Linked DNA regions of Drosophila melanogaster. The protein of the gene in region 1 interacts with the protein of each later gene in a pairwise test. Each region holds a gene or a part of one and is shown in the gene's direction. Other genes may lie near its edges.

What was found.
Region 2: the proteins of CG43658 (region 1) and CG10814 interact in a two-hybrid assay, tested with the Drosophila melanogaster proteins (one large-scale study listed by BioGRID).
Region 3: the proteins of CG43658 (region 1) and hdly interact in a two-hybrid assay, tested with the Drosophila melanogaster proteins (one large-scale study listed by BioGRID).

The regions. Positions count from the first base shown.
Region 1 is NC_004354.4:17,555,814-17,564,368, reverse strand, and holds the start of CG43658 (uncharacterized protein), read left to right. Parts: upstream 1-3,188; 5' UTR 3,189-3,540; intron 3,541-8,555.
Region 2 is NT_033778.4:13,374,276-13,382,065, reverse strand, and holds CG10814 (uncharacterized protein), read left to right. Parts: upstream 1-4,334; 5' UTR 4,335-4,377; coding exon 4,378-5,270; intron 5,271-5,569; coding exon 5,570-5,885; 3' UTR 5,886-6,091; downstream 6,092-7,790.
Region 3 is NT_033777.3:20,910,044-20,918,494, forward strand, and holds the start of hdly (hadley), read left to right. Parts: upstream 1-4,252; 5' UTR 4,253-4,365; intron 4,366-8,451. Other genes in the region: CG31191 (uncharacterized protein), read right to left, coding at 1,738-1,869, 1,928-2,034, 2,099-2,297, 2,367-2,626.

The DNA.
Region 1 (8,555 bases):
TTTTACTACGTACAATTATATTCCACAACACCACCGGGTTAATAACAACCATTATTACGCTTGGCTGCATCTGCTCAAAAATTAAATAAAAAACGGAGCTAGCAGGGGAAGTATAATAAATTCAAATAAACTCACGAGGACAATGGCAATGGTTGAAATGTGGCCCGCGGATACGCAATGTGCCACAGGCACCGGAACCGGAAGTTCTGTACAGTGTGTACCAGGACCAGCTTAAAAACAAAAAAATATATATACGAAGAAAAAGAAAATGCCAAACACCCCGCGAAACATGGCGGCAAACAAATGAGCAGACGGCGGTGGGCGTGGCGCCTTCTGACAGGCAGCTTAATTAAGATGGCCAGGATAATGCAGAAATTAAGACACAAAATGCCACGAGAAGGACGAGCAAAGTTTTGCCAGACGCGAAAGTTTTCCCAGCCAAACGAAGACATATCAGACCGGATTTTCTCCGAATTTCACGAGCCACTTCGATTGGAAAATGCCAGAATCACGAATCATTTGATAAATTTATTGAACTTTGTCCTGCAGGCGCATTGCACACAAATGTAGCCGATAACTTTATGGTTTTCCATGGGAAATACAAGAACTATTTTATTTAAAAAGAGGAAAACGGAGAGGTTATCTCAAATGATTCAAAAGTAGGTGTATCTAAAGGGTCTTGCTGTATTTTGTTTTTCAGTTTATAGCTTTAATGATCTATCTAGCTTTTTCGTTTTAGTTTTATGACTTATATAAATTTTCATGTAATTTTCAGTAGTCTTTTTTTGTAATTGATTTATTTTCAGATCGGTTTAAGCCACTTTTGCATCACTGGTTACGCCGACATCCTGGCAAGTGCTTCTGTTTCCGCTGCGTCTTTGATTGCATTCGACTTTTGGCTGCAGTTCAGGCGCCTCTATCCCCTTAAATCCCTTCGCCACCCCACTTTTCCACCCACTCGACGACAACAATATTGTCCTTTTGGCTGAAATCAAAATGCTGGAAAGTTTTAGCTGGACAACGTAAACATAAAGTAAATGCAGTGCCAAAAACAAAAGTCAAGTCCACTCCGAGTGTCCAACTGCACTTTCTGTGTGTGTGAGTATCTGTGTGTCCAAAGTATCTGTGTGTCCAGAGTACCTCTATATGTGTGTTGGCTTGTTGATGCGTGTGCATGTGATCTGCTGGCTGCGATTAGAAAATGATTTACACCTCTGGCTGCAAAAAAAGAGAATTCAGGATAAAAGATGGGCCTTACAACGTCTGCGAAACTGGTTGGAAGAAGAAGCTGATGTTCTTCTCCCTCTCCTTCATCTTCTTGTTCTTGGCCAGCTCTGCTTCTTCCCAGTATGCAATTACACATTTTATTATTATTAACGTTAATGTCGCCCATGGGAGGGCACTAACGCCCGGCTCCACATAAAAGGCGCTTATTAATAAGAAATTGCAATAAACTACAAGACACAGCAGAACGTACAGCAATCCGTTGCTACACTACAAGAATTTTGCATATGTGCTATTTCGCGCAAGAAAATGTAAACTGAAATTAATACATTTCATTTCGCAGAACCATTTTTAATTATTCTTATACGTTCTTTATTTTTATATATTAATTATTCATTTAAGTTATATATGAGTAAATTTGTAATGCTTTTAGACGTTCAAGGCCACACTTTTTTTAAGTGCATTCCGGTACGCTGGCGCTTAAAGGAGCAACAGCTGGCGTATGAGTGAGAGGCCAGACGGTGGGAGAGGGGCACCGAAACAGAAGAGAGTGTGAGAAAGGGAAAGAGAGATCCCAGCCGGCGAATGCGCGGCAAAAACAAAAGGCAACGGGAGAAGCTCGGCGAAACAGCTGGCGAAGAAAGTCGCTCTCTTTGGCTTATCTCTTTTTAACCCTCTTCTGCCTGCCATTGCTTTTCTTAACCCTTGCGTATCCTTGTTGAGAGTAAATCAAGCGCTCCACATATTTTATTAAGTTGGAAACCAGTAATAAAGTAGGAAGCTCGCTGCCAGCTGCAGCTCACACACACACCTACACGCACACACTAACCGATGCACTCTTCTCCGGCGCTGGGGTTGCTGTTGTTGCACTGCCTGCTGCACGCGCGAAAATGCTAAGTTGCCAGGAGCGGATTCAGTTGGTTGGCTGCATATATGACAACCAACGAAGATTTTCTAACTCAGTATTAGTTAGACCATCATTTCGAGAAAACAGAAAAGTATAAACTTTTTTTCCGTATCATCGCAGTTATGAACCAAGCAGACTTAATTTTTTTTGTAACAAAACTAATAGATCGGCTTAGATTGATGAACTAACAAAATTAATCAGGTAACCGTATTCCCATAAAACATTGCCTACTTTTTCGGGCATTAGGTAAACTACAATATAAACTATACCCTGCACCGTTTTGAAAGTGATCCGCACCTGTTCTGAAGCATTTTCTGCTCTCTCCCTCGCTTCCCTTCTTCGATCCCACTCTTCGTAGAGGCTCAAAACGTGCGCCTAACAAAATGCCGGTTTAAGTTTTGCGTTGTTTGGCGTATACGTAATGCAAAAGGAGAGCGAGAGTAGTGTGCCGAAAACGAGAGAGTGTGTGAGAGAGCGGAAAAGAGCGCGCGCGTCGCTAGTTGCTTTTCGTCTGATTGGAACTCCAAACTCCAATTCCAGCTCCAACTCCTACTACAAATACAACTACAGCTCCACTGCATCAGCATGTTGTTGTTGCTGCTTTAGCTGTTTTTTGTTTTTGTTTCATCTGGCAGTTCTTGTTCCTTTCCTTCTGCACTCCATTCGCACACTAGCTCAGGTCCACAGCAGCAGTCAAAGCAATAGCAGCTACAACTGCGCAGCTATTAAATGTTTTCAAAATACCAAAGTTCTTAAAAAAATATGTATACTAATTATGTTTTTTTGATAAAATAATGTTTAAGCTATTTCAAAGATTGAAACCAATTTTATGGTTTGTGATGTGCATTGTTAAATTAAATTACTTACTTACTTACACTTACTTTTTAGCAATACTAAGTTCACAATAAACGTCGCTTCCATTCAATCATTAACTTAAAACAAGCTCTAAGCCATTTGGGCATTAATTCTTTTTCCGTGCCTGTGGCGAGCAAACTGCATTTGCGGCACTGCCGGCGTCGTCGACGTGGGGACGTCGCTGCGTCCGTGGGATTCGGCCGCAGTTGGATTTTGGTGCTGCTCGCGCGAGGACGTCTCCTCTCCTTAAACTTCTGCTGGGGCTCTCTTCGAAGAGAGCGCTAATCCTGCGAAGAGCGTCGTTTTTAAGTCGCGATCAGAAACAACAGTAACCACAACCTGGTGGCCAGCAATTCTTACCAGTTTTTAGAAAGAGCCACGAAAAAAATGAAGTAGTGTGAAATATTATATTTTCATTTTGTGTGTGCGTGTGTGTGCGGTTTTCCTTTAATTTCGTTACACTTCTTTTTTTTTGCGATTTTTGTTTATGTGCCAAACTAGTTTCGAGTTCATTGAATTTGCGGCGCCGTTGTCAACCGATCGTTGCTGAAAACGTAAGTGCAGCTTTTTAAGTAGCTAAGGATGCGTTTGCCGCAGGACATTTGCGGTCACGTGGCAGCTGCCGCCACCTGCGAAAACCGCAAAACGAAAAAGCCGCCAAAACATTAGCACTTGAATGGAAAAGTATTTCGCAAATTAGTTAAATAAGGGTTATAAAAGTGGCAGAAAAAGTATTTGTAGTGCACCAAAATTGAATATTTTTTTCCTTAGAACTGGAAGCGTTGTCTGTGTTTTTTAAACAATAATTGGCATGAAATTTCAAAAAATCGAAAATCATATACTTGACCGAAAAAAAAAGAAAAATATTACGTGAATTTATTTTATGTATATTAAGTTGTAACTTTAGGGCTTAAATCGCGATATAAAGTTTTCACATATTATATTTTCTGAACATCTCTTTTTAGACACTTTCTTAAAATACAAATAAATTTCAGAGTTGTCAATTTTTGGGTGAGAGCAGGTTTCCCCTTTTTAGCAGACTCACTACATACATTTATATTAACAACAATAACTTGGCTCTTTTGTCTCACAAGCAATTGGCTCGAAATGTTGTCGCGTCGCCCTTAGCTGTATCCTTTGTTTGGTCCTTGGCCATTAGGATCCCTTTTAATTAAGATGAATAACTTGCAGTTTTTATACGCCACAGAAATCGAAATTTCATCGCCGGCATTTGGTTGTTGCTTTATAAAGAGCTTTAAAACCAAACTTTTAAAGCATGGAAATAATTTAGTTTTTGTCGAAATACGTTAATAAACCTTCAGATAAGATTTACTGTTTGTTTATTTGTTTGTACAATTTATTACTTTGTCCATTTTTTTTTTTACTTTTTGTTGTACTTTGCTAGAAGTTTCCATCTCAAAGCGTTAAGTTTTTCTAGCATTTTGGCACAGCTTAAAAGTTGGCAAGTGCCAAAAGTTCAAGCGCGCTGCTCACCTTTCAATTAGCCGGGAATTCAGAGCGAATCTAATTAGTTGGCCAACATGGTGGTGGAAAGTGACGAGTCCTCTGATTTCCTGGCTCCCTGATTGCTTCCAAAAGCTGATCGATCATCAAAAGACACAACCGCCACGCAAAAAGGTAGCAAAAAGTAAACAAACTAAAAATCAAGCTACCGAAACAAAAAATGTACGAATTCTGGACTGTCGAAATGTTTTGGCAGTTTCAGCAGGGTGCTGTTAAAAAATGAATTCAGGAATTTCAGAAGTGTGGCCAATCATCAAACTGAATGAAGAAAAAAGTGCCCCTTTGGTTGACTCTTCCTGTTACATTTCACAAAGAAACATAAACGAATAGAAAGGAAAGTTGTATATTATAATCTTAGATATATTAACCGATAAATGTCAAAAATGTGTGTGTGACACGCAGTAAAGAATGTTAAATTGAATTAGGGGAAAAAGTATTACAAAAAAAAAAACAAAGTTCTTTGAATACCAGTTCATTACATTTTTTGTACATTACTTGACGAATGTAAGGACCTTTTAAGCAACCGAAAAATGCAAACAATTTGAGCAGCCCTCCGCTGATTTCGCTTATTAACTAAAATAAATCCGTCCAAACGGAAAGGTGCAGAAGGACAGGGCCGTTGGCCAAGTGCTACTGGCCAACTAGCTGACCATTTCCCTGTTTTGCCTTTTTTTTGTGTTTTTTTTTTTTTGTTAGCCTAGCTGCTGCTGCTTTATGTTTGCCTTTTATTTTGGCCACAAGTTCTAGTTAGTACGAGGCGGACGAAGGCGAGTTCATAGAGCCAAAAGAACCGGTCTTGGAAAGTCGTCTAAATGTTTCTCTTACCTTCGGGCACTGCAAGAAAAAACTAATTACGAAATAAGAGATATATAAAACATTTGGTTTAATGTGATCAGACCATCACGGTAGATTTAACTATCTTGGTGCGCTTCGTCACAACGTGGACTGCAAGCCTAAAAGATTTCCTAATCAGTATTACCTAACTATTAAAGTCATGATAAATGAATTAATGAAAATGAGGATGTGCTTCTCGAAAACCAGACTCGGCATGAAGTTCCCATGCTTTTTTATCAGTGCACCTTTTTATCCCCGTCCAAGTCGAAGTCCGAGACTTTTCGATGTCGATGCTGAAGGCCCACTAAAATGTCTGGCTGTGTGAGTGTGCGAGTGTGTAGTGGCTCCTTCCACGGAGTATTCATTCCCAGAGGAATGTGTTAAAGTGTCTAAAGCTGTTTGCCTTCCCCCCGAACGCGCCCCCCCCCTCCCCCACCTCAACCATCCATCCAAATCGCCAAATAGAAAATTCTGAACTCGAGGAGCAGCATAAAATACAAAGCCGAACGCATCAGAATGGCAACGGCGATTTATAAGATAGTCCCACAGAGCGCAGAGGAAAAATAATATCAAATATCAGGGCTTAATTGATTTTTTTCTTCGCCTTTTTACCCCTTTTTATAATGGATCTGACTCATTTGGTAGAGCTTATAAGTTATATAAGCATCATAAAAAGTACATGAAAGCTTTTTAATGCATCAAAATGTTTTTAAAATATGAATTTGCTATATGTGCTCCAATAATCTGTTAAATAGTAAAGTTAATTGCATGTGATTGCTGTTACAAAATGTTGTAATAAAATAGAGAAGGATGTACAAGGCTAAATTGCTACCTTAATATATAATAAAACATACAAGTTCTTAAAAAAAAAACGAAATCTAAATATTGGGTACCTCAGTTTATAACAATCTAATTAACTCCTGAAGAGTGAAATTAATCGCAACTAGTCGAAAAAATGTGCAGGACCTGAAATCATTATGGGCTAAAATTTAAGCAAATTGAGTTTGAAGCTGCCTGCTTCCCAGTTGATTCTCCTTCGCTCTTGCCTTGTTTGATGATGACATAGTATTTGCCCAAGTTAATGGGAAAATGGGAAATGAGTTAGCTGTGGAAAGGACAGTGAGTGGCGAAAATGTAATGCTGTCTGGGCAAAAATAACAGTTGCTCTGCATATTATTATTTTTTTGTATACACTTATTAATTCTCAAGGCAATAAGAACGATAATAGCTACAGTGCGTCACAAAATTGTAATTGGAATTATATTTCAATTAGCTTCATAGATTCTCAAAAATGAGGACTTTACATATTTTCAGAAATTATGAATTTTACATGCAGTAAAGACTAACATTATTTGTGGGCAATATACTTATGGCTGATACCTTGCAGCTCCTAACCCTAGGCCTTAACTAGATCCTCTCCCCCGAACGTCCCTCGATATTGAACGGGTTCTAATGGAGTTTTTAAATAAGTAATCACTTGCTGTTGTTGGCGGGCAAGGAGTTTCGTCAAAGGCAAAAGGCGACTGGTTAACGGTTAAAGGCGAATGCAAACATAAGCCCAGACATTGCCACGCCCCCTTAACCCTGTAGTTAATTAGAATTCCAATACTTCTGATGTAGTTAATAAAGTCTCAAAACGCAGTTGGTCATTTTATCTTTATTTGGTTTTTATTAAGCGAGTCTACATTCCAGATCTATTCCTGATTTATAACTGATCTTAGTGTGGTCTACAGGCAGATCTCTTGTGACAGCCAAGTGCTGACACTAGCAAATTCTGCAATATGTATGTATGAAGTTCATACTCGATAACCAATGGGAGTCGAGTGCGACCCCTAAAGGCGTACATGCTGAATTCGCATATTTAGTATTAGGGTGTATCTAAAGATCTACTAGGGTGACCCTAAGGAATTAGGGTGGTCCTAAGTTTACTTATTAGTCGACTTATTATTATGATTCATATTATAATTATTATTAATATTATTATTATTATTGTTATTATTATTGTTATTATGTTCGTATATACTACAACCCTTTGACTGCGCCCGCCTCCGCGCAATTTACAGGTTAACATGGGAACAAAGAGAAAAAATCGAGCACAGGAAACTCGGACCCTAATTGATTGTTAACTCGTGTGTGGTTCGCAATATTTTTTTTTGTTGCCTCTTGCTTCCCCTGAAAAATTGAGTCGCTGAAAATGCGGGGGAGTCCCCTGCAAGACCGCCCAACCCTCGCACAAAGACCGAAACCACCACAACACCCTCCTCCCACCCCCGCAATTATGGCTTAAAAAGTGTTGCTGGCATTTCGGGCCGAACAACTGCAACTGCAAAAAATAAAGGCCATAAGTAAACCAATTAGTCGCCCGGCAGTCGTAAGCTCAGTTTGCAGTGCAACTGTCGCCATCGCTGTCACTGCCAGGGGTACTCTAACCCCCGTGACCCCTCCAGCGCCCACGCCGAGCTCAGCCCCCTACCGCCGCCCAGTTGCAGAGTTGGCCAATTGGCTAGGGACATTTTTGGGGTTTTTTTTTTTTTAATTTTAAAAAACAGAAGTTGGAACTTTTTCCATTTGTTGCTTGATTAAATTAGTTTCTTGATGTATTTATACAAATAAATATATAAACATACTAATATGTAAGCATATGCTAATCAACTAAATCTTATTCTTTTTTTTATATATTTTTTTTTATTTATTTTAAATTGTGACATATTCTTACTGTTTCGATAAATCTATGTAATGATCAACAATGCGTATGAGTGATAAAGCCCATGCTTCATAGATTCAGCAAATCGACAGTTGGCAGCACTGAAACTCGAATCTGCCGCACCAGCAGCTCTTAGTGAAAATGCGGCTTTCGTATTGTGTAGTGTTATAAGCGCATTTGACTTTTTGCACAACGCAAAGTTGGCGGAAGCCTGGTGGCAAACCCCCATAGTTCGGGGGGGCTAACAAGCCCCCCCATATAAACGAGGAACAGAACTGGCTAAGACTTTTTGTTAGTCAAATGGATTTGTATTTCATTGTTACATTTTCATCAACATAATCTGTATGAAATCAGTATGCTTAAATCCATTTATAATCTAGATTGTATAAAAATATTTAATTTACTGCTCAACAAAATATGCTGTTTTTTACTTTAAACTACTAAAATGTAGACCGTTACCTGCATTTTAAAGGAAGTTTGAGCATTTTTTAGTGTCTCACTGTTAAA
Region 2 (7,790 bases), on another chromosome or scaffold:
CTGTCGGCGCACGGAGCGTACATTGGACTTTGCCACTTGGCATGCGAGCGCAGGCGAATGGCGCCTCAAGGTATGCAGTAAATTAAAATGCAGTGACAGTGGCGGGCCATGGCCCAAAAAGGGGGTTTTCTTGGGGTTTCGGCAGGGGGGGGGGGAGGAGGGGTTGGTTGCTGCGCAAGGAGGGTGCAGGGAATGACATGCTTCTCCACTCGCATGAGGGTTGCACTCTCCTTTGCACTTTTCACATTAAAAACTTTTACCCGCAAGCTAGCCCACACACACACACACACAAGCATTACTTTTTAAAGGCACTGCAAAAAATCAGCTCTCAACGAGTGAAAATATTAATTTTCAATTGCACATATGCACATATTTAAAAGAGTGTTCTAATATTTTATGTTTTTGTTCTATTAATATTTAATGTACAAAAACAAAAGATAAATTTCAAGTCTTTGAAATTGTTTCAAAAATTGTATTTTTCTCAGTGCATATGTGGTTTCAGTAAAAGGACAACGTTACGAACTTCAGTTTTGACAACACACTTCCACACACAACCTAACAATTATGATGCATTGAGGCATGAACGTGCCTCTCACTCTGATTTAGCCAGGTTGGCTAACAGACTTCCGTAATATAACAAACGCCAGCTGGCTAAAACTGCAGTGGCACACCTCGCTGGGGCTATTTGCATATGAATAGCAAGCAGGTGGAATGGCATACATATCGGGGCGGCCAACGCTTATGGCCACGTTAATGGCAAACTAAACTGCAAACTTTGCTTTTGCACCGACGCACGCATACGTAATAAAAGGTGTAAATGAGCAAAAGAACCGGCTGCCATTGGGCAGGTGAGAAAGTGGATGGCATGTTGTATGTAAGTGGGTGGAATGTGGGCTGAAAGTCAGCCAGGTGAACAGGCAGCCAGACATGGACTTACGCCTTGGCCCATTATAAGGGCCACTTGCTGCCGACTAAGAAGACAGCTTTGTGTTTATTTCACCTGCACATTGGTTGTTGCTTTGGAATTTAATTAATTTAAATTTATTGAATTAAAAGTTAAATTCGATTTAATAAAGAACGGGGTGAACAGGAAATCATCTGTCGTTATTTAATTTAATTTTCCTGGTAAACCAAACTAAAATATATTTTATTACATAAAACTTCATAGATTAATAAAATATAAATAAAATGAGTTTTTTTTTGGTAAATTTCAAATACTTGTATAATACTTAATGCACTACAAATTCTGAGAATACATTTAGTTAGTAAAACTTCTCTTACTTGTAACTACCATCCACTCACTGTGCCGTGTGTGTATTAAACTAAATTTAGCGTCACTTTGAATTACGGCGCTGGCGGTGACGATGACTTGGTAGCCTTGGCAGCCGGGCCATTACAATGCAGAAGCCGGAATAGTCATGGGCTGGGAGTTTCGTGGGCAGGACGAAAAGAGTCCTGGCACAAGGACATCATGTTTGCAAATTTATGTAGTTGTACAATAAGTTGTGCCAAAGGAAATGCCATAAAAATGGGAAACAGAATTGTGCGGGCACCGAACAAGCCGGACGGACAGACAGACAGACGGACGGATGGATGGCTGGCTTGACAAGCTCGGACGCGTTTAAAGTGCAATTAGCGCACGTAATTGTAATCGGGTTGGCCAGGTGGCACCACCTGCCACAGCCCAACCACTTCCGGAAGGCGGTGACTCCGGCTTGCGGCTCCACCTTGCGTCTGCCAGCCCACGGGGTTGGGCATTTTCATTTTTTGTTGCTATTTCGTTTTGGCTGCCTTTTTTTTAAAGGCAACCAGGGAGCTGTAAATAAATTTGGCACTTAATCATATTTACGGATTTCGTGGGCACATTTATTTATGTGTCCCACAGTGGCCGCAGCTACTTACTGCACTTTGCCAGCAAGCATAGTGATTTTTTCCGAGGGCTAAGGATTTCTTCAGCCGGATGGAAACACAATACGGCCAAGTCCAATTTGGGGCCCATTCTCAAGAGTAGAGTCGGACCTGGGCTTTATGCCTAATTATGCGTTCCGCTGGCATTGTCATGGATAGCCGAAAATCCGAAATCCAAAATCCTCGCCGCCCACGAGGCTAATTAGGCCCATAGCGTTGGCCATTGTGCCAAACCGTTAGACGGGCGTATTGTTAACTCGAATCCACACCACCACGACTCATCATCAGCCACGGGGTTCACTCACCTGTTCACATCCGCTTTTTCTGGCTTTATGAATATTTCAGGCATTTAAGCCTTGGAACTGATTTATTTGCAATTTGATGGCCAGCGAAATAAATAAACCAATTTCGGTTTTCGGCCATGTTTCGCTGGATATGTTGCGGTCGCTGCGGGTTTTGTTTAATTTTCGTAAGTGTTGTACTCGATGTTTATGCATAATTTGCGGTATGTTTTGATCGGTTGCGAAGTAAACCGATAACACGGATTTGCCTGTTTTGAAATGTTATTAAAAAATAACAAATAAAAACAGACTTATTCGGATCGCTGCTTTTCAAAATAAACACTTTGAGTGAATCTACCTTTTTTTTTTCTCCGAGAAATTCATTACTCTGTCTCATCGCTCATTTCATCGATATTTGTCACTATTGTTGTGCCTGATTATTGTTAAGTGCAGGTGGGCTGGCGAAATGGAGCTGCGCGGCGAATGGGGAAAAACTGTCACTTGAATGCATTTTCATTACACCTCATTACATTTCACTTGCATCTGCAATTGTGTCATGTCGCCGGCTTTCGCTGCCGCTGCCTTCGAGCCTATGAATACGGGAATACTCGCAATGAAAACTGCCGAGCGAATGGATTCGTTAGCTGAATGGGCTGTGAGTGTTTTTAATTGAAAACAATAAAGTTCTGCTGGGGGAAACTGGGACTCCTTCCAAACAATGCATGAAATGTAGACGCTGCATCGTGCTGCATACCGCATTTCTAATGCTCTTCAAGTTTCTTAGAATCTGCTGTAGGCCTAGTACTAATATAATAAAGTTATCACAACAAGATATATAATTTTTTACAATACTTTCTTAAAAATATACATTAAAACCAATCCATTGAAACGTTCTACCTTTATTCAAGCTATATCTTCTCATAACTTGTTGGCAATGTATCTGCGATACCTTATATCTTACATTTAAGATACATTTACTCGCTGAGAAGAATCTCAGCTAAAAGCTGAGCATTCGATGGATTGTTCCACTCGCATTCTTTGTTTCGGGGAGAAATGCAAATGGAAGTGGAAATGGTGGAAATGGCGGTTATAGAGCCGCCGTAGATGGATAGATACGAGTCGTATTCGCGCCAGACAATACACTCGAATACAAAATGCGAATGCGAATGCGAATGCGAAAGTGATAATTAAAAATCGCGCCATATATACTGGTTACCAGATATGCTTGTTGCCGGCCGATTCTCTGCTCGTTGTTGTTTTCCCCGGCATGAAATGGTTATTGTTTATGATTTTCCAACGCTGTCGAGCAGGATGTTCGCATTGCAATCACCACTGGTTTGAGTGAAACAATCGATGTGGGTGTGGCATGTGAGCATGTGAATGAAGTGATCAATGCGCCTAACAATGATTGACGCCACTTCCCGCGACCAGGGGCGTCGCCGTGGCATGGGGGGAGGCGCCATGAAAGGGCTGTCGAAGATGGCGCGCTTTTCCACAGCCACGCCCCTTTCCAGCTCGACTGCAGCTGGCAAACAATTATGCAAAATCGCTGGCGTTAGCAGTTTTATGCAGAAATTAATTTTGCATTTTTAATTTTACAGCTCCAGTGGCGGGCGGGGGCTTTAAGCAAGGGGAGCCCAGCTAAAAACAAGAAAAAAAAAAACGCTGCGACAGCAATCTGCACTGCTCACAAAGGATTGATAAGGGTTAGACTTGGATGGTCGAACACTTAAAGAAAAAAAAAGCGAGTTTCTAGATATCTATATTTATGCAATAAGTTACAAATATCAAAGTATTCACATAAATTAGTATGTATTTAGGAAAATATATTCTAAACAGTATGTCTACATACAATATATCTAAAGTATATCATCTAAGGGATAACATATATAATAGTATAATAAATTGGATCAGGTGATAATATGATATTCGAACATATTACGCAAGGCTTCTTGTCATTTCTCAGCTAATTCTTAAATATCAAACAGCAAATATAAGCAAACAGCTTAAAAACTTAGAAAAATATAGTACGTACTTCCTTTTTTTAAGTGTAGCTATGTAAACATCACGCGTTATTTAATCTGGTCCATCAATTTGGCCACGTACCCCTGAGCGTGGGCTTCTTGCTCACCGCCCTAATCAGGCACATCATTCCGCAATCGGAAGACATAGTGGTAGGTTGCTCAAGATGTTCCAAGCGGACCGCCGAGATTTGCCCAGCCAACCGCTTAAGTTGGCTCTGCCAAAGGAGCAGGATCAGTCGCGCCTGGTTCAGGTTCCCGATCCTGATCGTCGGGACATGCAGTTTCCAGACATTTGGCTGCGCGATAATTGCCGCTGCGAGGAGTGCTATCTGCCACAGACACTGAGTAGATTGCCCCAGCTGTGGAACCATCTGGACACCAGTGTGCGGGTCCTGCGGCAGAGCGTGGACGTGGACCAGAGGGTCCTGTGTATAGAGTGGTCCGATGGACATACCTCCCAGTATCCGTTCAGTTGGCTGAGGGAGCGGGACTTCTCATACGCGAATCGCCAGCGTTACCTGCGTGACTTTTACCGCCCGGAGCAGAAGTTGTGGAGCGGTCTGGACTTTGAGAAAATCCGTCAGGTGTTCTACTACCAAGAACTGCTCGATTGCGATTCGGCGTTGCAGCAATGGCTCCAGCATCTGGCAGTTTACGGAGTGGCCATGGTCAAGGAAGCCCCTCTCGATATGGACGTCCTTCGGAGATTGTCCAACCGAGTGGGCTTCATGAGGCGCACCACCTATGGAGAGGAGTTCAGTGTTCGGGCTCAGCCTGGAGGCAGCAACTACGCCTACTTGGCCGCACCACTCCCGCTACACACGGATATGCCCTACTTTGAGTACCTGCCCGGAGTGACCATGTTGCACACCTTGGAGCAGTCCGCGTCGCCCGGGGGTGTCAATCTGCTGGCCGATGCCTTCTATGTGGCGGAGGTGATGAGGGAACGCTATCCGGAGCAGTTCCGGGTTCTTTGCCAGACTCCCGTGGACTGGGCGGACATCGGAAGCGACGGCGATCTGCAGTTTCACAATATCTGGAGGGCACCGGTCATCAAGTGAGTAGATTTAGATTGGGAGTCCAGTAAAGGAGATTTATATTGATGGAGTTCCTTTGATTGCTTAGGGCGACTTAAGAATACATTTAGGTGCAGTCAGACTATAAAAATGCTTATTTTGAGTTCATATTTTTCAAGCAAATTCTGCACTTTTAAAATCTATTTTTCTCGCAACTTGAAATGTTTCAGTTATCTTGAAAAATATTTCAGATATTTTTAGGTGGAGGTAACAATTTGTTGACGAGGGGAAATGCATAGTTGCCCCAGCAGAACTTGGCTAACATTTCGATCTCTTGCAGCTTGGACGCGGAGGGCCGGTGTGTGCGCATCAACCACAGCATTCCGCAGCGCGACAGCCACTTTAGCGTGCCGGTGGAGCAGGTGCGTCCGTGGTACGAGGCGATGGCCACCTTTGTGGGCCTGGCCCACGAGCACTCCTGCAGATTCAAGACCACGCCCGGCGACGTGCTCACGTTCGACAATTTGCGCCTGGTCCACGGACGTACCGGGTACGACGACACGGACCGCAATGTGCGCCACATTCTGGGCGCCTTCGTTGACTGGGACATTGTGTACTCGCGCCTGAGGGTCCTGCGGAATGCCAAAGCCACCTGATGCTCCTTAGATAGCAGGAGCAGCAAGCACATGTTATGTTATGGCTACATTAATTAGCCATCTATCAATGCCAAAATGCTTTGATTGACATCGCAATGTGGTAGCAATAGACAGAGTAGAATCATTAGATTACTTTCGAATTTATTGTGCTCGAGAAATTAAACCATTTATTGACATTTTGAATAAATACTATTTTAATGGTTTCTAATCCTTTGACACGCTTCAATGCTAATTGACATTATTTAATTGGGTTAAACGTGTGATTTAAGGCATTTTGAAGAGGAAGAAGAAGTCACTCGAGAAGTTTACTAATCTGTTAAACGTGAACATCTCTGGCTGATAAGTAATTCTATTAGTTTCGCTACCCTGTAAGAAAGTGACATAGGAATATTAGACTATACGCTGATATTCAAAACTATAAAATGTATTATTCATTCGTAAATATATAGGTAGAATTTTGGAGACTACTATAAGTATTCAATTCAACAAAAATTGGAAAATATTAATTTAATTTAAAATGGTAAGAGTATAAATTGCTTCATGAGCAATATTAGATAACCTAACCTAAATTACAGGGTATGCAGGCAAATCCGTGATTCAACAACTGCTAGCCAAACAGGCCACTGGAAGTGAAAGTCCAGCACACGTCATTGTTTACGCCGGGCAACAAAGTGGCTTATCAGTGGCCAGTTGAGTCAAATTTCAACCAGTATGTCCATATATATGTATATGTACAATAGGTATATATTTCTATTATCAATTTATGGCAATGCCCAGATCAACACCGACTTGGCAGAGCTCTTAGCTCTTGGCATGCGAGTAAATCACACCCACACACCTTCATGATTTTCATTGGACTGGGAAAACTTGGCTGGAATGTCGGGGTGTTTTCCCTTCGCTTTTCTTTTCGGGTGTTTGGGTGCGGTGTCCCGCAGGCAAATCCTTTGGAAATCTTTTTATTTATGTCATTGATGCCACCAGGACCAAGTGAGGTAGCAGAGGAAGCAACCCGGCATCCGACAGCCAGCAGCCGGAATCCGAAATCCGAGTTGGAGCACATGAATTTGTACATGGCATCGGGTAAATCCCTCTAATAATCCACATAATAAGCACTGGAAGTAGCTGTGGCAGCAACAGGCCGAAAGGGTTGTGCCCCGTTTCCCTTGTTTATAAGTTCATAAAAGTCAACGGGCCGGGAACTTCGAATGGGAGACGATTGGGGAGGGGGCAGGCCATAAAAAACGAGCCAAATGCAAGCGGAAAATGCCCAAGAAGAAAGAAAGGCAACCAGTCGCAAATCCAATTTCTTCGGAATGTGTGCGAGTTTTCGGGGTAGTTGAAATTTTACTGCAGTTTCCAGCCAGACCGTGCAGCAGTCATAATGTGTAATTGAAAACCTGCTCTGAATCGCACCCCTGGGTGGTGTACCATATACCTCTTACCGACTTAAAAGGATACCCCTAATTGGCCAAATGGTCAACCAAGACAGGAAGTGTGTGAAATTCTCAGGTATCTTGATGTCATTTAGAAAATAATAACCTAAAATGTACGAACCTTTATAAAGAGGTAAAATAATTATATTACAAATGAAACAAAACTACGGTTATGTTGCTTATGTTAAACGCAAGAAATCAGTCTTGTGATTGAAGACAAGCCTAAAACTTGACGAAATATTAAATTATATACTCCATATTTGAAGTTCAGTGCACTTATTTTACTTTGTAATTGAAAACTTCAATCTCCATAATTCGTTTAGAAAACACACATCCTTGACCCGCGTTGTGTCCTTATCTACATTTTTCCGATCTGCCATGAAAATGAGACCCAATTTGCAACCATATGCATGATCATAATGACCCCCATATTATATGTTTTTTTTTTTTTGGCTAAAGCAACAGCATTTGG
Region 3 (8,451 bases), on another chromosome or scaffold:
GGCTAGCGTTGTCAAATATTTTTTCATACTAAACGCTCGGAGAGGCAGAGGCAGTTAAATTATATGCATATATGTATATATATATATATATTAAAGCGATTGGATGCATTAGGGGTGATCGGGCGGTAATGGTGGGGGTAAATTAACCAGCAGTCAGATGCTGTGAAGCATATAATGGGCAGCAAACAATTGTTCGAGTAATTTATGCACTCAATTGCACTTTCATGATAGCTGCGGCTTTTCGAATCTGTTCCTGATTTGCTTATATTCAGATATGTCAGATATATTTATGGTATGTATATGCACTGTGTATCGGTGGGTGTGTCAGTGGTAAAGAGGGGATCTCACTTCTGCCAGTTTCAATCGCCGGCTATTAGTGGCGCAAATTTAAAGCACTAAATTGAGTGGGATTTCTATGCAAAAATAACAAAAAAAAAAAAAGGGAAAGGGCATTTGCGGGAGTCTAGCTCTCGTAAAAAGTTGTAAGCTCGTCTAGGTTTTACTTTGGTCTCTTGTGCTCGAGTTTTTGCAGTGTGTGTTTGGGCAGAGGGATTACAAAGCTACAAGGTATGCATGTGTATGCAAGTACATTGTACAACAACGAATCCATGGGATGCACGCATCTCAAACGAACTTTTGAAATACACACTTGCATTTCGGTTTGTCTGCGCGTTGCAGGGAACTTAAAGCTGAACGTTTCGATACACACATAAAGCATTTGTTATTCACTAATAGTTACTGGCGAAGAGAAAATCAACAATCAGTTAGTTTCTAGGATATGGGGCTTGGTGTTTCCTTAAAAGGTGTTAGGAGTATTTGCTCGCACCGGTTGGGAATATTTCCCTTATATTGTCTAACTAGGTAAGTAATAAATACATCTAGGCGTGGGGTTTATTCAATACAATTTGATACACTTTGGTAATAAGTATGATATAATCAGCTAACAGCTATCGACCATTACTTTATCTAAAACAAACTCAAAGAGGTGGCAAGGTCAAGCCAAATCAAACGGTTATCAATTTGTCATTAGTCATCTGCTTTGGAGTATCTTTGGTTACTTCACATATATATGTATGTATGTATATTTCATGTTCCTTGCTCTATATTTATGTGTATAATACTAGGCTCAGTTTGTTGTTGTAAGTGGTACATACAAATTACACAGAGTTTGGTTTGATTCTCAATTTGATTTCCGTTCATCATCTTTGAGCGCATCGTTCACTATTTTATCAGTAAATATCTTGTGTTTTGCATTTTGTATTTTTGTAGGTATAACACTGTATTCATCTCAAAAGTTCATTAAAATAAATGCCTTTTAGTTTGTTTGCTGGCACTTCAGTGCCGAAGTGTTTGTATCTGATAATGTAGTGTAAATAGTTCCTTGTTTAGTTGGTGGTGGGTGGTGGGGTCTGGGCTCAGTTAGTAGTTGGTTAGTTAGTTGATTAGTTTGTCTTGGCTTGCCTTTGAGTGTTGGCTAAAAGAAGGGCCGAAAGAGGTTTGAGGAACCCGCTCCACTGGCGGAGGAGTTTTGAAGAAGCTATTCGGAAAGCTCTAAATCATTTCGGAATCTCTTGAAAATTCGCATGCGAAAACAGCACATATGCATACACATTTCGCAGGACTCTAATCCTGGGTCCTGCGACCGTGTATGCTGCTGCTTGTATTGGTATTGCTATTAGTTTTTGGGCCCTCTCAAATGACACTCATGCGACGCCTGCCATTTCCAGTGCCCTCGGCTCAGTTGGCGTTGGCCAGTGTCTCATGGCACACCTCCATGTAGTCCGGATCGTGCATGATGCCCTTTATCATGTCCTTCAGCATTGTGTAGCGTGGAAATATCGGATACATCTTTGAGCTGCCGTACTCTTCCTGCGTGTTCAAATACGGATTAGAATAAAATGTGAACTTTCCACCGGATGCCACTCACCTTCAACACACGGATGAGGTGTCGCAGTCCCAGATACTTTTTCAGCAAGCGATACAAGTCGTTTATTAGCTGCGTATTCTCGTGTTCGATTTGCGCAGTTGTCATATCTACGAGTACATTTATCTTAAATAGTTTTCTCTTTTCATTGGACAGGAGGCTGACTTCACTTACGTTCCAATCGCTCCATCCGCTCCCGCCGCTCTGCCGCCTCCTCTGCCAGGCGGGCGGAGGTCTTGACTCCCTCGCCGGACTTCTGGGTCTTCTCCATGATCGAGCAGGCCCGCATCACGTAAGAGGGCACCGTCTCCTGCTTCTCCTGCCGCGGGATGTCCACCAGTGTCCAGTACTGGGTCTCCAGGCGGATGACTTCCTGTGGTTGGTATTATATATATAGCATTAGCTTCTTAAACGGAGGGTTAATGACACCCTTTTTACTGACCTTAATCATCAGCTTGAGCATGGGATAGCGCTGAAAGATGTTGCGCTGGCTCTTCGAGTCGCCGTACTTGTTCATGAGGTTGATCAGGGCTTTCTTGGCGGTCTCGTAGGACTCCTCCAGGCGAAGGCGCAAGGATCGCAGGCGCTCGTTCGTCTCGATCACCTCGTCCCGCGTCATTCCACTGGGCGCCCCCTCGTCCTTCACATCCTGCACGATTCGGCGCACACTCTGCGTGAACTTGCCCACGAAGTTTGTGGTTGCTGAATGGCGAAAAAAATTGTATAAATTAAGTGATAAAACAAAATACGTAAATATATAGTAGTTAATTGTACGGAAATTGCACGAAACACTGTCATTCATAATCGGAATTTCAGTAGACACGCGCATTAACCCTTAATTAATCTGCGATTCATGCGGAAATTGTTCGGCTATGGAAAAGTCAAACTATTATGCCATGATGAAATCGCATCGTACGCGCCACATTTGATTAAAAATAGATTTTTGTCACTAATTTAATTTTTTCCTTGGGCTTCTGGCTTCGGCGAGAATCGAACCCACGTCGCAAAACTTTTTGGTGGTGCATACAGCAGATCGCGCTAACCGGAGCACCACGTCCACTATCATAAGGCATCTGTTTTATGATCGATTTGTTTGCGTCGCTCTTTAGAGGCCTTGAACTCATGTAATTTTTACAATTTACATTTGGGGGATATTTGAAAATATGTTTACCAAATAGAACTGGATGTTTCGTTAGTTTCTTTCAAGGCAAGGTAAAAAATTGTATAAGGACTATTTTGGAAATCGTCTTAATTTCAATTACTTTTCTTATTATTATTATTTCAAAAATGATTTATTTACTTTAACTGCAAAATTTTGTATATAAAATTGTTTCCTTATTAAATATAATATGATTTATAAAACGTAAACGTACGTATTTGAACCAATAATTAAAATAATAATTTTTTAACGAAAGAATTTATATAAATAGTATTTTATTAAACCACGTGGAGCTTGTGTATGACAGAACTAATTCAAGTCTCGATTATTTTAAAATTAAAACTTATGATTATGTAGTAACGAAAAGTAGTAAGAATCCATAGCGTTTAATGAACATTTTCAAGTAACGACAAAATTCAAAAAATTGTTGACTTCCAATGGCGTCATAAAACCTCTTGCAAAATTTTAATTTAAAAGAAACATTAAAGTGTGTTCATTTGCATTTCGGTTTTTATTGGTCGATGGGTCTACATTTTCACGACGTCCATTATGGCAACGAATGGGAAAACTCCAGCCTCAATTGAGAGCCGTTTAATGAGCATTTCGTCGAGATGGCGAAAAGTGCAATTAGCATTCGTCATTGTCAGTCTGTTTCTGCGTCCGTAAAGTCATGCAAAACGTGACATATCTCAGTACAGAAGGGGCTCGTTGATGGCTGATTCTGGTGGTGACTTGAAACGCGGCGAATTAGTCGGCGTTACATCTATATGGATTTGGATGCACATTCTAATTGGAAACCCGGCCATCTGTGGATTCAGACAGAGGCGTGCCCTTATGCGGAAAGTGCACTGTCAGTTTCCAGCTGTGAATCATAATTCCGGCACAAGGAACCCGCATTGTGGGTGTTTGGAAAACTCTAATTGTCTCTGAAATTACTACGGTCAAGGACTTTGGCCGCTGACGCCGATCGTGACGTATCCACATGCAAAGACTTTGAGCAGTTCGGTAGTAATCACAATAACTGGTATGAGTCTGGTGCTGGCATTACAATGGATGTATTGTTGTCTTAAGAGAGTGGCAAAGAGTACACAGCTCGTTCGCTCTTATTTGCTTATTTAATTTTTGCTCGGCTCGAAGTTTATACATATAGTCGAATGCCAAGAGGAATATCATCAGTGCAAAGTCGAAAATCTGGCGGTAAACACTGCTGTATCGCGATCCGCGAGAAAAACATAAAAAACAAAAGCAAAACAAAAAACGAAAAAAGAAAAAACAAACAAAAGTGAGCACAATATATGATAAAATCAAAGAAAGGCAAAATAACAAACGAAATATATACATATAACGCATACACTGGTATATGTAGATATATAAGTACATACATCGCGCCGAAATAACTTTAGAATAAACAGAACGCCAATTGAACTGAAAATACATGTGTCAAATGATGAAATTAAGAGAAACATAGAAAGGCTCTCTAAGAACTGTTGTTCATCCAGTGCGAAGTTTTGAAGTTAAATTATTGTATCTCGAGATCGCAGCATATCTGTTTGTTCCATCTGCGCTCGATCGCAACTACATATCCATATCTGTGAGGCATGAGCTTTGCGAGCGTTTCGCCTCATGATTGGCGTATCGGTAGCGGCTTGGCAAACTCGGCCAATGTTTATCGACTCGCTCTCGACCAGTTGGCCTTTTGTGCTTTTTGCCAGTGCAGCAATTTCTGAAAAAATCGCATTTAATTCGTGTTTGTGTTATTTATCCCTCTCCCTCTCAGTACTTCGATATTGCCCTCGGTTTTTGCCGGATTGCTAAATATTCAAATTTTTATAGAATTTTTTTTTTTTCAAGATAACATTAATGGTGTTTCTTATTACCTCATATTTCGAATGCGTGCTTGCTTTAGTAAAGTAAAAATTTTTATTTCTTTATAACGCCACTTTAAAAAATAGAGATTATTTCTATTCGCCTATGGTAAAACACTCTCATGATAACATTTTTAATTCGTTGTTGAGCAATTGATGCGAAATTTATGAAAGAATGTTGCACATTCCCTCGAAAGTCATATTAATTTTTATAATAAGAATAATACTTGGTAGTTTTGTTATATTCAAAATTTTTTAATAATGAATATATACACATTTCAAATAAATTTCATTGAAGATTTTTTTATTTACGCACCTATATTTTAATGTCATTAGCAAATGGCTTATACTTGATTATATGTTAGGTAACAACAAATCAATAATCGAAGTACTGGCGCTGCGAGCTAATATGGTAATATGAAAAGCCTTTAACAATTATAGAGAAATGCCCATTGTCATTGATCAGAACAGCCGTTTAGGTGGGAAAACACATCTTTTAGCCAGTTAAACTCGTTTCTCTGACTGTGGGGATGCAAACTGGATCTGTAACAGATCTTTGCCCATATCTCGAGGCTGAGGACCCTTCACAAGTAAGCCGCTTGCTCTGTTTCACTGGCTGGTCGACTGAACTGACGACAGTTCATAGCTGATGATGTACTACATCAGTATCACTTATTCGGTAGATAAATTGGGGCGGTGGGCTGGTGGGTTGGGCGGTCGGATGGCGGCGGGACTAGAAACTCTTTCGACCTTCCCACCCAACCCACTGATATCAGCGAAAACGACAACCCACAGTTTGTTTGACTGCCGAGCGGAGGAGAGACGGCTAATGAGCAAAACGGCTTTTGTTTGTCTTTTTGGCCCCAAAGTTTCCCATCGCTGCTCTTCCTCGCGCTTCCAGCTAAGCAGAGTACCTGCGTAAACCAGTTTTTGCTAATTTGACAAAACACAAAGCAAACAAAATGAAATATATAAAAAAAGCCGACATATGTAAGCTTTTCGGTGCGGGGGTCTGGGCACAAATATGCTGTTTGTCTTTGGGCTTTTGCTGCTTTTTTGAGAACGAGTCTGAGACTAAGAGCACATAATTTCACCAACAGCAAACGAAACGTGTCGTCGTGCCGCTCATTGTCTTCATTGGAGCTGAAAGTATCTGTAAGATACATTTCGCTTCGCACATAATTAAAGCTCTGCACGTGTCTACACAAATGTGTGGGTGCCTACACTTGTGTGTGTGCCCTTTTGGTCCACAAATGATTCAAGTTCAGACGTCTTTAAGAAGGGGAACCCTGTCTTTAGTTTACGCTTCATTTTTATTTGAGCCGTATTTAATTGTTGACTTTACTCCTCTTTATTCTTTTTCTGTTGAAATATTCCCCCTTAGCAGCTTGCTGACGTCGTCTTAGCCTTATCAGTCGTAGACTTTGGGATTTCCAAAATACCTGGGCTTCCACTGATATTACTCATTGCTCAAACACGGGTCATGAATCTTGAGTCTTTAAAACTTGCCCATGGCTCATCGTGGTCACTTTCCAGAACGCAAGTGTTATTTATAAAGAAAATAATTACCCATTAAGGCATACTATGATATATATAAAAGCAGCGGCAACCGTTTAATTGCATGTTGCACGAGCTAACAAATTGCTCGGCCAGTCTAACTTGGCTTGTATTAAATTTTCTTTAAGCCCAAAGCCACAGGCACGCGTCGAGAATTGAGGTTGGGTGATCACATACTATATTTCCCACGACCCTTGTGGCTTGTCACTCCTCTTACTCACTTACAACTGCGGTGAGTGAAATCATATTTTACTGAGATACGGAAGCCGGGAAATTCCTCGTTTTATGCACTGCAAACTCGTTAGAAGTTCTATTTGCATACAGTAAATAGTAAGAACTACGGTTTATGCCATGCAGCAGTTTACTGAAACTCTGACGTAATCGAATTCAAAACCAGTCCTACTATTTGCATACTCCATTTAATAGCTGTTCTTTGTGTGTGTGTTTTTTTTTTTTTTTTTGGCACTAAACATCACTCTAGCTGTCAACGGCCTTCAGTTTTCATTCGAATACCAGGAAATTTCGAGCACCTAAGAAGTCGTCAATTAAAACTCGAGTTTCCATCGTGTCTAAGTGTAATTTGATCGAAGAAATTCAGCAAATTCGTATAATTAAAACGACAAATTAATGGTTTTAGATTGATTAGGTGTTGAGTTAAAGCTCTAGTGATGAAAATGAGTAACTTAGCTAACGAACTGCGATTTCCAAATAAGCAAACAAATCCATTTTTTTTTTTAATATTTTATGATTCCTAGTTATATTTTTTCCAACCACATACACATTTGTTGTTCAATTAAACTTTATTTTTTAAAGAAGCTGCCTTCTAATTGTATAATTATAATATCATTGTCAAGCCGTGAAACCACAAATGAGTTCATAAAAACAAGTATAATTAGACAAAATAGCGTGTGCCATTTAGATCTAAGTAGCGATTTTAATATCCGCTGACTAATGAGCAGCAATTGTTAGATACACAGCCACTGAAATTATGAATGGGTTCAAAGTTTTGGAGCTCAGGAAAAGATCACTGAGTATTTGGTCATGCTCAGTGGCTTAGATGGTTTTATGTCACGAGGATGAGATCATATGTACGTATATAAAACCCATGAACAATGGCTCTGGCTGACTCTCTCCCAATCATTCTTGCCACCCGAGCTCATCGCAATTACCATAAGCCATTGTCTGCAGCGGGAATCCTGATGGCTAATCACACTAAATTAAGTTGAAATGCGAATGATTCATTTGCGAACTCACATGTATTTACCGATTTTTGGACACGCTTCACATTTTACCTGCCGAAATTTCGCATTGTTTGTCACACTCGATTACCGCTGACCTTCCGGCGACGGACGTGAATTTGTATGCAAAGGGCGTGGCTCGACCCCGCCCATCAATAACACAAACTAAACGTCTCGACCTCGCTAATCCCGGTAGCACGTGCTGTATTACCAGCACTCCCCGAAACCCGTAACCCGAAATACGAAATGCGAAACCCAAGCCCAATCGCAATCCCCATCCCTGGAACCATCGAGTTTGCTCAGCGTGTTTTAATTAGTTCGGGATGGCAAGGACTAGCTTCGCATCGCAAAACGCTTTCGGTTTGACTAATTGACCGAATTTGGGGCGCTTGTTGGGGGCACACCCCTGCCAACTGGCCCATCAATCATCGAAAAGTCGAACATTTCGACACGCCTCTGATTTATTGAAATTGTGCAAGGTGCCCCTGCATTTCGAACGTAGTCAAATTGTAAGCTGCAAACTGCATTTCCATGAATGTGTCATATGGATGCCTAATCCTTGGGATTAGTCACCATTATTGTGGTTGACAAATGCCAACTCAAATGGAGCACAGTATCATTGTTTATTGATGGCAGAGATCTGATGAATGGGAAATTAGAAATGCTAAAGCTGTGTAAATGTTTTCCAACAAAGTAAACCGCATGAGG